4 linked regions of the Schizosaccharomyces pombe genome follow. The protein of the gene in region 1 purifies or fractionates together with the protein of each later gene. This does not show direct contact. Each region holds a gene or a part of one and is shown in the gene's direction. Other genes may lie near its edges.

Evidence for each region.
Region 2: the proteins of hht2 (region 1) and pcf1 purify together in Schizosaccharomyces pombe (affinity purification with western blotting, with the first as the bait; one study listed by BioGRID). This does not show direct contact.
Region 3: the proteins of hht2 (region 1) and bir1 purify together in Schizosaccharomyces pombe (affinity purification with western blotting, with the first as the bait; one study listed by BioGRID). This does not show direct contact.
Region 4: the proteins of hht2 (region 1) and asf1 purify together in Schizosaccharomyces pombe (affinity purification with western blotting; 3 studies listed by BioGRID, with this or other methods). This does not show direct contact.

The regions. Positions count from the first base shown.
Region 1 is NC_003423.3:1,363,119-1,366,342, forward strand, and holds hht2 (histone H3 h3.2), read left to right. Parts: upstream 1-2,000; 5' UTR 2,001-2,039; coding exon 2,040-2,450; 3' UTR 2,451-2,700; downstream 2,701-3,224. Other genes in the region: hhf2 (histone H4 h4.2), read right to left, coding at 1,394-1,705; protein Sfi1, read right to left, coding at 3,098-3,224. UniProt on the Schizosaccharomyces pombe protein: Core component of nucleosome. Nucleosomes wrap and compact DNA into chromatin, limiting DNA accessibility to the cellular machineries which require DNA as a template.
Region 2 is NC_003423.3:2,537,614-2,541,736, reverse strand, and holds pcf1 (histone H3-H4 chaperone, CAF assembly factor (CAF-1) complex subunit A Pcf1), read left to right. Parts: upstream 1-1,752; 5' UTR 1,753-1,783; coding exon 1,784-3,418; 3' UTR 3,419-3,609; downstream 3,610-4,123. Other genes in the region: psm1 (mitotic/meiotic cohesin complex ATPase subunit Psm1/Smc1), read right to left, coding at 1-994; spo5 (meiotic RNA-binding protein 1), read right to left, coding at 3,710-4,123. UniProt on the Schizosaccharomyces pombe protein: Acts as a component of the histone chaperone complex chromatin assembly factor 1 (CAF-1), which assembles histone octamers onto DNA during replication and repair.
Region 3 is NC_003421.2:545,298-551,352, reverse strand, and holds bir1 (survivin Bir1), read left to right. Parts: upstream 1-2,053; 5' UTR 2,054-2,204; coding exon 2,205-2,333; exon of another isoform or gene 2,334-2,380; coding exon 2,381-5,245; 3' UTR 5,246-5,548; downstream 5,549-6,055. Other genes in the region: importin alpha family nuclear import signal receptor adaptor Cut15, read left to right, coding at 1-880; tricalbin, C2 domain protein (phospholipid binding) ER-plasma membrane tethering protein Tcb1, read right to left, coding at 5,609-6,055. UniProt on the Schizosaccharomyces pombe protein: Component of the chromosomal passenger complex (CPC), a complex that acts as a key regulator of chromosome segregation and cytokinesis.
Region 4 is NC_003421.2:1,642,366-1,646,561, reverse strand, and holds asf1 (histone H3-H4 chaperone Asf1), read left to right. Parts: upstream 1-1,977; 5' UTR 1,978-2,006; coding exon 2,007-2,795; 3' UTR 2,796-3,660; downstream 3,661-4,196. Other genes in the region: osr1 (dehydrogenase), read left to right, coding at 686-1,447; SPOM_SPCC663.18 (GTPAse-interacting protein), read left to right, coding at 3,691-3,728, 3,765-3,796, 3,845-3,972. UniProt on the Schizosaccharomyces pombe protein: Histone chaperone that facilitates histone deposition and histone exchange and removal during nucleosome assembly and disassembly.

The DNA.
Region 1 (3,224 bases):
TTAATCACAATGTCTCAAAATGTATCTGTCAAACACACAAAGAATTCAAGGACAATAAACTGTTGCAGGACAGGCAGAGCATTGTACCGTGTTCTATCAACGGCGCTTTTAGGGCAACTTGTGAAACGGCTAAAGTGTGTTGAAGACAAAATCAAGTGAAAGAGCAAGTATTAAAAAAGGGTAAATAAAAATAAAAGAAAGAAAAGTTATTTTAATTTAAAAACTAACGAACAAAAACCTTTTAAGTAAATAAGAAAAGTATAATTCAGTAGTGTAAAAATCTAATAAACACTGTTTCAATGTACTAATAATCTGTGTATATACTTTCTATTTCATATTATTAATATCATAGAGCAAAAATGGTGGCATTTTTATTGAAAATCGCTGCATATGTTCCTGTTGTTCATCGCTTTTATTAATCACGTATGTTAACAGACTGAACGGAAAAGAGCAGAAGCTTGTTTAATTTGATTTGAACTTCCGCAATTGCATAATTGCCACATTTCTCTATCTGACATTGCTCTCTTTATTATTATTTGATTGTTTCATTTGCTTGGCTATGGAAGTTCATAAATTAGTAGGAGGACGTGGGCTATTTCGAGATGAAAGCGAAATTTCACTCTTTACGCTTCTCAATTCCGACAGAGTGATAAAACGGTTTGCCAAATGCCCGTCTATCGCTATTGGCGACAGTGTACCAAAGACATCCAGTTTTGCTTCACCTACCGATACACTAAGATACTCAGCTGAAAAATTTGCTTCGAGAATCCGCTTTTCCTTAAAATACAGTCACATCGTTTATCAAAAATTATAGCCACAATACGTGAGTAATAAATTCACGCACAGATGAGTTTCCCTGTTGGGAAAAGAAGACAGCTTGCTTTCAGTACATTTACCTTACAATCAGCTTGTAGAGTTCTCTTTGTATAATATAAATAGATGGGTTCGTGCCCAATTTTTTCTCAAATTGAAGCCTACAATATATTAGCATAGTTATGATATGACTCCAACCTTCCAAACATACATTAATGAAACGTGATAACTACAGGCTAAATTTGTGTGTTTTCTTGTCCTCCCCCCCATAAATGTTAGATAAAAACAATTTATTTATTTATTTCTAAAAACAGAGCTTACTCCCAGAGTAAGTCAGACACAAGGTTGGGTAAAAATTTCTCAGACGTGCAATCCATAATGAAAGAAAAACAAATCCCTTCAATAAAATTGCATTTCTTCAAGGAAAACCAACCATTTTCGTGCAAATAAATATTCATTGAATGGATATTAAAAGAGAAATGAGTAAAGATAAAAAGAGAAACAACTATTAATATGCAAAGTAGGAAAAAAAGAAAAAGAAAATACAATTCACTTCAATATCGAAAAGTGTGCAACCAGTTTAACCACCGAAACCATAAATGGTACGGCCTTGACGCTTCAAAGAGTAGACAACGTCCAAGGAAGTGACAGTCTTACGCTTGGCGTGTTCAGTGTAGGTAACTGCATCACGGATAACGTTTTCCAAGAAAAGCTTGAGAACGGCACGAGTCTCTTCGTAAACCAAAGCAGAAATACGCTTAACACCGCCACGACGAGCAAGACGACGAATGGCAGGCTTAGTAATACCTTGAATGTTATCACGAAGGATCTTACGATGGCGCTTAGCACCACCCTTTCCCAATCCTTTACCACCTTTTCCACGACCAGACATCTTATATGAGTAATGGGATTCCTGTAAGTTCAAACAAACTGACTACCAATTGATCAATTTACAATATCAAAAACTAATTTTCAAGCGCAAACACTGAAATTCCTATGATTTGAATTTCAATGGCTTCTCGTACTAGTCGTAGTAGTTACTGTGTAAGTGCTGTAGTTAGGCGTCCATCTCCATATATATATACATTTTTTCAGGTAGCGGGGAAGCCGAAATCGCAATCTTAAATCAGGGTTAGGGTTGTGATTGACTGAGGTATATATAGCAGGAAGTGTCCACACCCGACGTGGAAAGAACCTTTTTGTAAGTTTATTTACCGAATTACGTTATGGCTCGTACCAAGCAAACTGCTCGTAAATCTACCGGTGGTAAGGCACCCCGTAAGCAATTGGCCTCTAAGGCTGCCCGTAAGGCCGCTCCCGCTACTGGCGGTGTCAAGAAGCCTCATCGTTATCGTCCTGGTACTGTCGCTCTTCGTGAAATCCGTCGTTACCAAAAGTCTACTGAATTGTTGATTCGCAAACTTCCCTTCCAACGTTTGGTCCGTGAAATTGCCCAAGATTTTAAGACTGACTTGCGTTTCCAATCCTCCGCAATTGGTGCTCTTCAAGAAGCTGTCGAGGCTTATCTTGTCTCTCTCTTCGAAGATACCAATCTTTGCGCTATCCATGGCAAGCGTGTTACCATTCAACCCAAGGATATGCAATTGGCCCGTCGTCTTCGTGGCGAACGCTCTTAAATGCATTGATTGCCTAATATTTTATTTGGTATATTGTGTTTATTGGGTTTAAGTTTTGCATTTCCTAATTTTTTCAATCATTGTCATGTATATTTCCTTGGTTTAATGTCGGGTTTAGCATATTAATTTTTATGTTTTTGCTTTCTCACTTGACTTATTCTGAAACACTGTTTTAAAGCTTTGTAGTTTTTAATTTTTTTTCCTTTGTTAATCTGTTTTTATTAATTTAAATAGTTTTTTTTTTATTATACGTATTTCATTTTTGTAAATTTTTCATTGTAAGAAAAAAATTTTTTTTTTAAATTTGTTTGACCGCCTGCTACTGTAAGTCGTAGTACTTGCTTTGAACATCTTATGGAGCATTACTCTCCTAACGATTTGGTAAAGTCCTTTTAAAATTATCAAGTGAAGCGTTCACTTCCTGCTTAAAGTTTTTTTTTTTTTTTTTTAAGTATTCCACACGTACTTGTAATGTGTTGCAGGATTATTGATGCTACTGTTACACGAATTTTCGACTATGTATTAAACTTTTCAAAGCAATGACTATTATATTATACATATCTAAAGGTTTATCAATATACTCTCAACTCATTTCAAATGGTTAGATAAAAAAAAAGAGAACTAACTCTCTCCGTCAATCGTAAATGTCAACGGGTATTAGGAGGTATAGGCCGCAGAAACTTGGAAAATCGAGATATGGGAGTCTTTAGTTCCTGCTTCCAGCGATTTTCAAAATTTACAGACTCATCAGTGAATTCATCATTTTGCATTGGC
Region 2 (4,123 bases), 1.2 Mb from region 1:
TTTCCGCAGCTTTTCTTTGAATTTTTCGGAGATTTGACTTAGACTCTAGGGCTTTCTCGGCAATTGAAATGAGCTCTGGACGTTTCGAAGCAATCAACTTTTCTTGTTTTCGAACTTTTCTATCGAATGCAAGAAGGTTTCTTCGTATACTGCCCTCTTTTTCTTTCAACTTTTCTATCTCTTTAGTGTTCTCATCTCGCCTTTCGATAAGTTGAATGGAATCTGCCTTTAATCGAGTAACCTCTGCCATATTAGAACTAATACTTTTCTCTAGATGAAAGAGTTTCCATAAAAGGTAAACTAACTGCGCAGAGTCTCGTTTTTCTTTTTGACTTTGATAACGCTCGGCTTCAGTTTTCTGTTCTTGATATTGGCGTAACTCAGCGTTGATACCACGTTTCTTGTTAAACGAATGAGCAGATAAATTTACAGCCTTGTCCTGCTCGTCTTTAGATTTATCGTACTCAGATTTATATTCCAGAGAGCCACTTATTTGTTCAACAAGCTTTGAAAGTTCTAAAGGAGATTGCGAAGCAATGGTTTCAACATCACCTTGAAAAACTAAGAAATTTCGAGCTCGAACAAGAATATTCTCCTTTTGGAGAGATCCGCAGTATTCAGAAAACGTAACTATTTCTTCATCAATTTTGTATTCAGTAGCACCAGAAGGAGTGATTGCGCGTTTATACTCTCTTTGCTCCCCATTATCCAACTCATACATAAGTTTCACATATGCTGTAGTAGGATTACTAGAATCAGTGAAATCTGTATTATCTCTTTGCAGTATTTTCCCCCGATAGATCAGTTCTTTAACATTAGTTGATCGTAAATGAGAAGACTTGACCCCTAAAACAAAAGAAATGGCATCCATTAAATTCGATTTTCCGGCTCCATTAGGACCGATAATCGAGGTAAAGTCCTCAAAAGGACCTATAATTTGATGTCCTCGATAAGACTTAAAGTTTTCAACTTCCAGTCTTAGTAAACGTCCCATTAGGAAAACTTGGTAAAAGGAATGTACAAGGTGTGTATGAAACTCGCGTACGCGTCTTTACTTGATTAGATATTGTTACCTACTCATTACGATTACATCTCATAAAGTTTCAGAAATCCACGATATAATATATAGTGCAACTTGATATTCACTGTAACAAGAACCTCGTTATTATGATATTATCCTTCCAGCGAATTACTATTCTAAGCTGCATAGCCCCTGCCTATATATGTACGATGCATCGTTATTGAAAGAAGTTTGCTGCATATAAATAGGAAGAAAATTGATGATAACAACATCCGTTTGTTTCATTATTAATGAATTTGTGGTACTCCAATCACCAGTTAAAAAATATGGCAAATAATTTCAAAGAAAATTCTCGTCAACTGATATTAACTCAATCATAATATAGATGAGCCATAAAATATTAACATTAATATCGTAATGCAATGTAGCAGTAATATTATATAATCGTAGTCAGGTAAAATATATAACAAATCACCATATTAACCCATTCGCAAAAAACTTTGATGTTTAAGCTACTCAGATCAATCAGTACATATCTTGTTAGAACTAAGGAATTAAATTATTCAATTATATAAGCGTTAAGATGGATGAATAATAGATTGGTGAGACAGATTTGGGATAGTGATGTATATAATAGAATATTAACATATAATTTACGAACTCTCCTTTATCCTCTTTATTCGATCAGAGCGTCCGTTAAAACAACTTACGCACGGTTTTTAGCCTCCCTTAGGCTTGTTATTGATATTCGCAGCATTGTCTATGAATAGTGAAAGTGTTGATTCAGATGTCGCGGCCTCTACTAGTAATAAGGGAAATGAGTTATGTAGCTCTTCCACTGACATTACGTCTTTATCAGTGAGTTCCCCGAATGAATCGGTTATTCATTCCAGTCACTCTGCAAGTGAAGCTGATGAGTACGTTTGCAAATTAAGTTATGAGGGTAATAGAAAGAAAAGAATTTATAATGGCTCTGCTGAAGCGGGTAAAGAAAAGAAGCTTCAAAAACAGCGGGCCCAAGAGGAAAGGATTCGACAAAAAGAAGCAGAGCGTTTAAAACGTGAAAAGGAACGTCAACAACGAGAGCAAGAGAAAAAGCTAAGAGAACAGGAAAAAATCGCCGCTAAGAAAATGAAAGAATTAGAGAAATTAGAGAAGGAGCGGATTCGATTGCAGGAACAACAAAGGCGGAAGGAGGAGAGGGATCAAAAGCTTCGTGAGAAAGAAGAAGCACAGCGCCTTCGTCAAGAACAAATCCTTAATAAGGAAAGACAACAATTGAAGTTAAACAACTTTTTCACCAAAGGAGTTGAGAAACGAATCGCGCCAAACGAAAATTTTGTAGCTGACAAAACGGATGAACTGAATGAGTTTGAGAAAGAGTTTCGCCCTTTTTTTATAAAGCATCAGATGTCCCTTTCCAAATATCCATCTCCGAACGAATCTGATTCTTTTTTGGATGAAGTCCTCTCAACCTCTAAATCTTATCCTTTAAAGCTAAACGACATTTTTACACCATCAGATGCTGTAAGCTCCGCAAACAGTTTAGGTGTTAGTAATAGAAATTCCGAAAACGAGGTTCGACAATTAATGAGCGCATATCAAGATCCATCTGTTTCAAAACCTCAAGAAATTTTATCTTGTTTATCACAGATTCCTATTAAATTCATTTTCTTTTATCAGGATGTTCGCCCTCCATATTTTGGATCTTACACGAAAACCCATTCCCATGGTTCTAACGTTTTATTGAATCCCTGGCTTGAAGATGAAGACATAGACTACACATATGATTCAGAAGCAGAATGGGTAGCTGATGAGGAAGATGATGGAGAAGATTTAGAAAGTGAAGATGAAGAGGTAGATAATTCCGATGATATTGTAGAGGATGGTGATAATGCTTTTGTGGATGATGAGGATGATGACAAGGATAGTGTCAATGCTTCTAATACCCATCGTTCCTCCGGCCCATTAGAGGTAATCGTAGAAGGTCCGGTTTGGGATTCAAAGTTTCTTCCTGACTTTAATTGCTTATCTTTAATTGAACCCATTAGTTCATTTTCAGCATCTACATATCTCCAAATTGATCCTAAAGAGGATTTATGGGCTTCTCAAGATACTGCTCCAGCGTCTAGTGGAATGACAATTGGACCTACCAGTTCACTTTCTGATGATTTACAAGTAAGGTTTCCTTCTGAAGATATACCCAAATTTATAGAATATGTCCGTAACTCTCATGACAACAAAGTATTCCTGATCGAGAATTTGAGGCACATGTTTCCTTACGTAACCAAAAATATTATCAGCGAAACTCTTGGAAAAGTCGCTGTGCGTAAAGGAAAATCAGTATCTGATGGTTGGATAATCAAGGAGAATTTTGCATCCCTTTTATCCTCTTAATTCACAGTGTGCAATTATCTTGAACACTCAAGGACTATTTATACCTCTCTCTTTTTATACGATTAAGCAAATATGTATAATATCATTCATTAATACTGTAGTGGTTTGACCTTTGTTATATAACCTGATAATAAATAAAAGAAAAAACATAGAAAGAAAGCTTTGGCCCTTAATTGTAAGCTTTGTCTAACAGGTTTTATGTTGGTTTAAGTTTGAGTATGTGATAAGTGTTTGAAAAGATTTCGATATTAGAGTTTGATGTTCAAGTAAATGCTGGAAAGATGTTTAAATTTAATTAGCAGCAGAAGTAGCGGGATGGGCATGATATGGCGTAGTACTTCTGCTGTTTTCATAGTTTGAGGGATAAACGGAATAAGAGGGATACATACTTTGCCAACCGTAAGTATCATAAGTGGGTGAATGTTGATAGACTGTGTTCGACTCCAATGGCACATACATTCCAACTTTAGAGGGCATAGAGTTATTTGCGAACTCCTCAACTTTGGAAAAAGCATTATTAGCTGTCATTCCCTTAGTTAAAACACTGTATTCACGAGCACGCCATAATCTTCTTTTCTGAGTCTGACCTTTAAACTTCTTCTGATCAGTGGAATCAGCAAAACGGATTTGTAATGGGGGTAAAGCAGGATCCAAGACAAAGTTATTAAATTTATTAATTATGTCTTCAGCCGTTTTACGATCTTG
Region 3 (6,055 bases), on another chromosome or scaffold:
CCCTGTTCTGTCGAAATTAATTTATACCTTAGACGAAGATGTTTTAGTTGATGCCCTTTGGGCCATTTCCTATTTATCTGATGGCGCTAATGAGAAGATCCAAGCCATCATTGATGCAGGGATTCCTCGTAGGCTTGTTGAACTTTTAATGCATCCTAGCGCTCAAGTACAGACTCCTGCTCTCCGATCCGTAGGAAATATTGTTACAGGAGATGACGTTCAGACCCAGGTCATCATTAATTGTGGTGCTTTAAGTGCTTTACTTTCTTTGTTAAGCAGTCCACGCGATGGCGTTCGTAAGGAAGCCTGTTGGACAATTAGTAATATAACGGCCGGTAATTCTTCTCAAATTCAATATGTTATTGAAGCTAACATTATTCCTCCTTTAATTCATCTCCTTACGACCGCTGACTTTAAAATCCAAAAGGAAGCCTGCTGGGCCATTTCCAATGCCACATCCGGTGGCGCTCGTCGTCCCGACCAAATTCGCTACCTTGTAGAGCAAGGCGCAATCAAACCTTTATGTAATTTGCTGGCTTGTCAAGATAACAAGATTATCCAGGTTGCTTTAGATGGTATTGAAAATATTTTGCGAGTGGGTGAACTTGATCGCGCGAATAACCCTGATAAAATCAATTTATACGCCGTCTACGTTGAGGATGCTGGTGGTATGGATTTGATCCACGAATGTCAGAACTCATCTAATTCGGAAATTTACCAAAAAGCTTACAATATTATCGAAAAGTTTTTCGGTGAAGAAGACGAAATCGAAGAGCTTGAACCAGAAACCGTCGGTGATACGTTTACATTTGGAACTACACAAGAGCCTGCCGGCGATTTTCAATTTTCGGCGACTAATGCCGAAGATATGGCTATGTAATGATACTTCACATACATTATTCATTTATGCTTGTTTAGGTTTCGTTCTTTTTTAGATTGTTCATTTTCATAAACATCGAAGTGGCTTCATGATTTTGGCTGTGGTCCTGTGGTTTATAATATCGTTAAATTATTTCATTGAGCAATTGAGGATGCCGATTTTTTCATTTACCTTTACGTGTATGGCGCGATTGTTATTAGACGAGATTATTACATTTTAGGAGGTTTACCTAGACATACATTCCGCAGTTGTCACTCTTCTCATTTTGTTATATTGTTGTTTAATGATTGTGCTGGAAAGTTGAACATCTTGTACTTGTTAAATTATTTCTCAAGTCCGTCCTGAGTGTGCGTGTCGAAACGAACTTTTGTTTACTTTTTTTCATTCACTTTCTAACCAACGAATGGTTTATAGATCGTGGTTATTTTGTGAGTTTATTATTTGTTTTATTGACGAAACACAGGAATCATTCAACAGTTTTGGTCTTTGTTGTCGATTTAGTTGTAGCTTTTGGCTGCTCCACTACTAGATACAGGTTTTGTACCTTTGAAACAACATGGGACTAATTCAATTAATTTATTTTACATTGTCTTCATGATTGTACTTCCTCTATTGCTTAACTTTTATTTGAGGTTTTAGGAAGTTCAATATTTCCACCGCATTTGTCATCCTCTTTTCAACTTTTTTCTAATGAGACAGCTGATTCATCATTGTATTCATAACTTTGACCATCGCATCGAAAGAGGAAAATGAAATCAGATTTGTCTTGTTGATATGCATAGTTTCCTTTGAATAGCCATGAAAATGTAGCCTTATTCTTCTTTCACGATGCTCCATACTTTAGAGTTGGAGCTTTAATATTATTATATGTAACAATATTAGTACCAAACTATGATACATTACTTTGTGCTAGCAAAAATCTTCTAGTTAAATTTTGAATTTATTAACAAAGATCATAAGGCTGACATTAAAGACAATAATTGAATCTTCCTTACTCAATATAATATCTAAACCTAGTCATCTCGAAAAATTTGTAACCAGTGAACCTTCCATTTATTAAAGTCTGCTATACTACTTAACGACATTTTACGCAATATAACGACATTGTTCAATTACAGTAAACTCGTGTGCCCTAGCAATCTACAAAAAGTAAACATTACCCATATACGCCTTGCGAGGCGACCTTCCCTATCCTATGCATTTGGAAGTATCTGATATTGTCTAAAGACAATAACCAGAAGTTTTAAAAAAATTAATTTTATAGTTTTAAGGATCGGAAGTCGAAATTTGGTATCTAAATTTCACTTGTTGAAGCTTGCTCAGAATGAAACCGATAACGTCTTCTTCTAAACGCCGATGGAATCGGTTTCGAAGGGAAATGTGTAATTACTCTAAACGACTTGACACTTTCCAGAAAAAAAAATGGCCGCGAGCCAAACCGACGCCAGAAACTGTATGTTGACGATAGAGTTTTCATCTGTGTTGCTAACAAGAAAATAGCTTGCTACTGTCGGTTTCTATTACAATCCAATCTCTGAATCTAATTCTGAAGAAAGACTTGATAATGTTACATGCTATATGTGTACCAAGTCATTTTATGACTGGGAGGATGATGATGATCCATTGAAAGAGCATATTACTCATAGCCCCAGCTGTCCATGGGCATATATTTTATCCTCAAAAAACAATCCAAACCAGAACCCCCAAGCTGCAGCTCTCACAAAATGTCGAGAACAAACTTTTGTTGATAAAGTATGGCCGTATACCAATCGCCCTGATTATCACTGTGAGCCGAGTGTAATGGCTGCTTCTGGTTTTGTATACAATCCAACTGCTGATGCTAAAGATGCAGCTCATTGCTTATATTGTGATATTAATCTTCATGATTGGGAACCGGATGATGACCCTTACACCGAGCACAAACGCCGTCGTGCGGACTGTGTGTTTTTTACATGGAAAGACCCAAATAGCTTATCTCCTACTAAACTGTCTTTTTTATCTACGTCGAACATTGACCCTGAAGACTTGACCGAGGATAATTCCATTCTTCCCGTTTCTCCCACCCGAGATTCAACAAAATCTCATAAAACTTTAAATTTCTCCCCTAGTAGAAAGAATAATCTTAATGCACGTCCTTTAACAATGTCCCTTTATACTAATACCTCTGAGGAGAAAGACTCACAACCCACCCGTGCACCACAAAGTCCAACGAAGCCCGTTTTACTTACGGCTCCAAGGCGAAAAAATAAATCTCCAAAAAAATCAAAGCCAGCAGTCTTTAAACCTGTTAAGCCAATTTTTTCTGATGAAGACGAAGATGACGACGACTTGACCGCCTCTCAACCCTTCTCTAAAGGGATATGTAATGACTCTATGCAAGTAGCCAAAAAGAATTTTACAGAAGAAATTCCACTTAAAGAAGATGAAAAAGATAATGAGCTGGAACATCTTGTATCACCAGCTACATCCGTCCACACAACTGTTTCTGACATAACTGGACATCAATCTGTAACTGATGAAAGTGATGAGCAAAATAATTGTATGTCTACGCCGCCGAAAATTGAAATCGAATCAAAAATTGAAGAAGAAATATCTGTGGTTTCCAAATCAAAGGAAATTTCGTCTTCTGTTTCTTCTGTTGGTAAAGAGCAAAATCATACAGAAAAACAAGTTGCTATCGAAACTCCGGAACAGCAGAAGGTTGAAAAAGAAGATGAGCATTTAAATCTTCAAGGTTCGTTCATAGAGGAGTCCACAAAACAACCAATCTCTTCAAAGCCATCAACTTCATCTCCCGATATGACTGATGCTGCAACAGGAGGTAGAGTGTCTTCTTCAAGCTTCAGAGATAAAATATTACAAACCAATTTTTCACCAAGGAGTACAATAGATTCGTTTAGCAACATTTCAAAAAAGAGAAACTCGGAAGAAGCAAATGATGAAAATGACGAGACCAATTTGAAAATACCAATTCCTGAAAAGAAGAGAAAATTTCAAGAAGTTTTACAATCTAAAAACATTTTAGTTTCGTCTACTGAGGATTCACATGAACCAGTAAAAGTTACAGAGGACAGCCAAACTGCCATTCACGTTAGTAAATTTGAGGATCTTGAGAATAAGAGTATGGAGTCTGAACAGTCACTACAATTGCTTTCTGAATCTGAAAATGATGACAAACCTTTAATTGATCTAATTCCTCTCTTAGCAATTAAAAGGAAGGATAATCTTGTAAGCGGAGTTTTAGAGAAGGGAAAAAGTACCTCAACATCAAAAACAAAGTTTGATACATCAATAGTGGACTTTATAGAAAAACCAAAAACTGAAATTAGCGAAGTGCTTCCTGAGGAAAAAAGAAAGGCCATTTGCGATGAGTCCCAAACGGTTAGAGTTTCTATAGATAGAGGAGTGACCAAGACGAGAGACGTATCAAGTCCTGTTTCCGATGAAAAAAGTGAAAATGTTAATCATGAGGAAGCTAATTCTGGTCATACTGTCATGAATGTTCATTCAAGCCTGGATCCCCAGCCGATCGTACAACCCAATGAACTTGAATCAGGAAGTTACTTAAAGGATCTTCCTGACAGAAACGTCGGAAACTCCGAAAAAGTGACATTTCAAGAAGATGACATTAATTCTCCTAAGCTACAGAGCAAGAACAATCAAACCGTTGAAGCTGTTAATACAGAAACTTCTGATAAATTGCAAGAAAAGGAGGCCAACCATGAATTAGAAAATATTGAAAAGATTGAAGAAAAATTGACTGAGGTAGACAAAGTCTCGTTAAGTGATGCTTTTCCTGATCAAGAAATCAAAAATTCTAGGACTTCTGTACAGAATGGTACTAGATCAGTGTCGAAAAATACACCTGAGAAGGAAACGAAGGTAGATAAAATCGATAATGTAAGTAAAAAGGATGTTGAAACTTCACCTGGTTCTTGTGAAACCTCTTCAGCTTTCGCTAAAACTTACGCTGAGAAAGAAGTAACGAGTATAAATTTGCCAAGTGTCCGGAAGCCTTTAGATGAATCCTACTATGACCATTCGATCAGTCCATTTGATCCATTGTGCCAATCTTCATTTTTGGCTCCTCAAACTCCTGTCAAATCAAAACATGCTTTGCCCTTAGTTGAAGCAAATGCACCACCATGGGAACCCATAGATTTCTCGAGTCTATTAGAATCTCCAGTACCGAATCCTGTAGAGCCAAACAAACTAAGTGAAAAAGAACTGGATATGACCGTTGAGCAGTGGATTAAATTTATGTATGCTAAATGTGCAAAAGAGTTTGAAGAAGCCTGTGAAGAAAAAATAGAATGGTTACTGGAAGAAGGTAAGCGGGCGGAAGAATACATACAAAACTTATAATTTTACATATTGTGTTTCTGTATTTATGGACCGTCTCGCTTTAAGCGAAAATGTTGGCGGGCTACATTTTAAAGTAATGTGAACTAAATTTGTCTGAATGCACTGTCAGCGTCCTTTTCTTTCTTTTTCTTTTATGTTTCTTGTTTTGTTAATCGGATCCTCTTATTATCTGTATTTATATCAACACTACGCTAATCTGGTGATGTAGTCTTAATAATTCTTCTTATAGTATTTATTTTTTTGGCAGCACAATATACAAATATGGTACTATATTTGAGTCAATATGAATAGAATGAATTAAACAACAAGATAGTGAAAGTAAAGTATAACGAACGTTGAAAAGAACCGGAAGCATTACCCATACTACTCAGCTTCGACCTTAATTTCAACAGAAGATGAACCACCAATTACAACCCTAAATGTACCAATAGCATCTTCTTGAAATACCGCTTCACCCAGTTTAGTATGTCCAAGCAAGTTGGAAGTAACGGCTGAAATTCGAAGTTCGTCACCCAAACTCCATTTGACCGGAATCTCTTCGTTCCATGAGGGAGACGGGCCTTTCCGAGATTTGGTTTTAAAGCTGTGGTCTTGATTGTCTGTAACGATAATCTTTATAGTCTTATGAGGCATATTTTTACCTTGACCAACGTATACTTTATACTTTTTCTGTGCCAATTCAGGTGCTCCCGTAGTCTTGTCAATAGTGCTAGTTAAGGCAGCGTTTGCAGACTCAGGTGCAATAGCCGGTGGCACAGAAGCAGAAGAAGAAGCTTCCTGGGTTGTCGTGAGATCAGAGCGAGATGGATT
Region 4 (4,196 bases), on another chromosome or scaffold:
ACGAGCATAAAAAGTTTGAGCGAGTCCAAGGTGCCACTTGGATTGTTCAGCAGTTTTAGATCTTGATACGTTTTATTCAACCTTTGGATATATAAAGAAGGGCGTCGCATATAAAAAATTCAAGTGTTCATACAGCAATGCTTAAATCGGTTGCAAACTTATATTTTATCTTAAAATTATTCTATTTCTATGTTTTTTTTGTTTAATAATTTTTATTGTGAAAGGACTTCAAGGTTTAAAAGAGTTGTTTTTTTGTATCCTGATTCAACGCTTTTCTCCTATGGCCAATGTCTCAGCATTATCAATTAAACAATTTTCAAATAAATTCTCCCTTTATGATACTTTATCAAGGAAATTAAAAGAAAGGTGCATTTAAAGGAATACTATTCAGTATGCAAGCAGTATCAAGGAAGCAGCTGACAAACCAATGGAACGGGTTATAAAGATTAGTTGCAATATCCATATTATATGGCAAAATATCACCTAACGCTCTACGTGAACTACTATGAACCTGCTGATTTTGGAAGTATATTCAATTATGTAAGCATCAAAATTCACGGTTCAAATCACGTAAGCATAATGATTTGAAGAATTGGTATATAAGCACGAAGTTAATGATAAATTGCCGACACCAAATTACACTTTTCAAACGGATTCAAGGATCATTCAAATATTGTGTTAGAATATGTCTACTACCAACAAAATTTACTTTATTGCAGGAGGAAATCGAGGCATTGGACTCTCTCTTGTTAAGGAATTGAGCAACAGAGAAGGAACAGTTGTATTTGCAAGTGCCCGCAAGCCTGAAGCTGCTACTGAATTACAAGAATGGAGCAAGTCTCATTCCAATGTGCATATTATTAAGTTAGATATCTCCTCTCTAGAGAGTGCTAATGAAGCCGCTCAAGAAGTTGCAAAAGCTGTAGGTAAAGTAGATGTTCTTTGGGTAAATTCGGGCATTTTTCATTCTTTCAACACTGTTCTGAATACTCCTGATGATGTCTGGAACTCTCACTATAAAACCAATGTTTTAGGACCAATTCATGTCTACCAAGCCTTTTATCCTCTTGTGAAGAAAGGAGAATCTAAAATCATTGTTTTTACTTCATCATTAGTTGGATCCATGGGTGCTTTCTTCCCATTTAACCAATCTGGTTATGGCCAATCCAAGGCTGCTTTAAATTTTACAATGAAGGAAATTAGTTTTGAGCTACAAGATGAAGGATTCATAGTGATTTCAATTCATCCCGGAATGGTTCGAACCGATTCAGCTCAGGAAGCTGTAAATCAGCATGCTGAAGCGAAACCGGAAATTTTAGATATCTTTGCGAAACAGGCCTTGGCACCAGACCAAAGCGCTTCAGATATGTTGAAAGTTGTAGACAATTTGAAGCCCGAAAATAATGGATTTTTTTTCAACTATGATGGTACTACAATTCCATACTGATGGAAATTCACATCATTAACAAGTCATTCGGATTTGCTGTTAAGCTGCATCAATATTATATAACCGAATGATCGAAGGAACTTACAATAACCCTAAATATATGTTTTAATCCGCTTGTATATCTTTTTTAATAATTAGAGATGAAGGAGGTTATGTCTATTTTTTATGTTTCACATACGAGTTGTTTTTGCACAATGAAATTTGATGATCATATTAATTGTACATTGCATGCATTATTAATGAAATAGAAATTTTTATTAAACAACGGTTATGTTTAACTAAACTGCTCTGTAAGTTCTTCGTACTTTCGCATAAAATACTTAACAATGGTTATGTTTTCTATTGTTTACCGAATAGTGAGGCATTGTTTAGATGTGCCTTCAGTATTTATATTTACTGCATTTTAATCCTTATATGTTTGAATCAAATAGGTGTTATTACCTTAGAGCACGAAAAGCGATATAAAATAGTCAAGCGTATCCTTAATTATCCGAACTCTACGAAACCTTTCTTCACCTACGCTGTTCTTGGCAATCGCTTAGACGCGTTTCACTTCGAAATGTCAATCGTGAATATCCTTAGTGTTAATGTGCTAAATAATCCGGCAAAGTTCTCTGATCCATATAAATTCGAAATTACCTTTGAATGTCTGGAGCCGTTAAAAAGCGACCTGGAATGGAAGTTGACATATGTAGGTAGTGCGACGTCTCAAAGTTACGACCAAATTTTGGACACGCTACTAGTGGGACCTATACCAATCGGGATTAATAAATTCGTTTTTGAAGCTGATCCTCCTAATATCGATCTTTTACCTCAACTCAGCGATGTTTTGGGTGTCACAGTTATTTTACTCTCTTGTGCATATGAGGATAATGAGTTTGTTCGAGTAGGTTATTATGTCAACAATGAGATGGAGGGCCTGAACCTTCAGGAAATGGACGATGCAGAAATTAAAAAGGTCAAGGTTGACATTTCTAAAGTCTGGCGCAGTATTTTAGCAGAAAAGCCAAGGGTGACTCGATTCAACATTCAGTGGGATAATCCCGACTTTGACGATGCTCCACCAGTTCAGCCTGACGCGGACGAAGAGGAAGAAGAGGAGGAAGCTGATGAAATGGAGGAAGAATTCGATGAAGAGGGAGAAGGCGATGAGGAGGAGGAGGAGGAAGACGATGGAGACGGTGATGGAGAAGGTGATGGTGATGGAGAAGGAGAAAATGATGGGAAAGGATCGGAAGAAGAAGAAGAAGAAGAAATTGATATAGAGGAAGAAGAAGAAGAGTCGGCTCTTGCAAATGCTTCAGCTGCGGAAGAGAAACCTGAGGAGAAACCAGAGACGTCTCAGTAAAATGATAATCGGACTATTTTTTGAATGCTAATACTAATATTGACAAGAACTAATCCGATAAAGAACATGATTACTTTTTTGTATACTCTCTTTTAGTTTGCGCATATATATCGCTCTACCCGTTATTTTTTCGATGTAAAATATTCATGACTGGTGATAGTGTGAGAATAAAAACTATGGAATGGGAAAAGAGGAATAGCATTTTTTTTCCTGTTACCATAAAGCATTTTTCATAACACATCTTTTATTTAAATTCATTTTTGAACCGTCGACCTTTCCGTTGCATAATGGAGGGAAGAAGCATCTATTGTATGCCTCTTCCAATCGCCCTAAACGCATCATTTGTACCAACGTTCCATATTTTGGAACGGAGTTCTATTAGATTATTATTTTCTTTTTTTCCCATGTAAATTGTTGAAAGACTTTCGCATCCTGGTGTATGAAGTGTGCATTTCATGTTTTTCAAAACATAATTAGGGCACAGACGCAAGCTTTCTCTCCTCGATTTATCCTTACGGGACGGGATCTTTTTCCAGTTTATTAATGTGTGGATCCATTATTAGTATGTTCCATATTTAACTTATTCATCCAAAAGACAGCAGCACTCATTCTAGTTTTCGCCCTATGTATATTTGTTTATTGCAAGACCCATCAGTTGCGTACTCCAATGTAATCCGTTCGCTAATAAAACGTATTATGACATAAAACGCTATTTAAATATTGCGTATAGCAATACTCAACTCAATTAAGGATAATGTCTCTTGCAGTGGCCTCTTTAAATTGAGTGACACCCCTAAGTCACAGCAATGGGAAATGACATGTATTGACGCTACGCTGGTAAGACACTTCCCAACCTCCCATTTTCCGCAAAAAAACAAAAAAAGCGCATTACTCAATGAGTACAGATTCCTTGCCAAGAAGTTTGATGGAGCAGTAAGTGGTTTTGCTAGTTCTTTGCTAAATTGATAGGAAAGCGATGGAATTGCAACAGCAATTGCAAGGTACGATGGCGGTGCGTTTTGGAGAAAGAAAAGACTAACAATTGATAGCTTTGTTGGATGAGATCGATCAAAACAAACAGGAATCTGAAAACATTAGTCGAGAAAGCGAGTATCTGTGCCAATACATCGGCAGCATGATGGCCTTTCAGAATCGTCAGACTGTTCCCAAGAAGTAAAGTCGTTTAACCCTCTTTATGAAGCAACACTTGTACAGAAAGAGTTGTTGATGCACCATTGAATTGATTAATCGCTTTTTTTGATGTTTTTTGTATGATTCGTTCGATGAAGAAGAAAAAAAAATAAGGTTCGTTTGGATAGATGCGTAAGAACGCTGTTAAAACTGCGAATTCTCAGAAAAGTTTTTGGACGAATGACTGGATTACTTTAAGTGTTTGTTTTC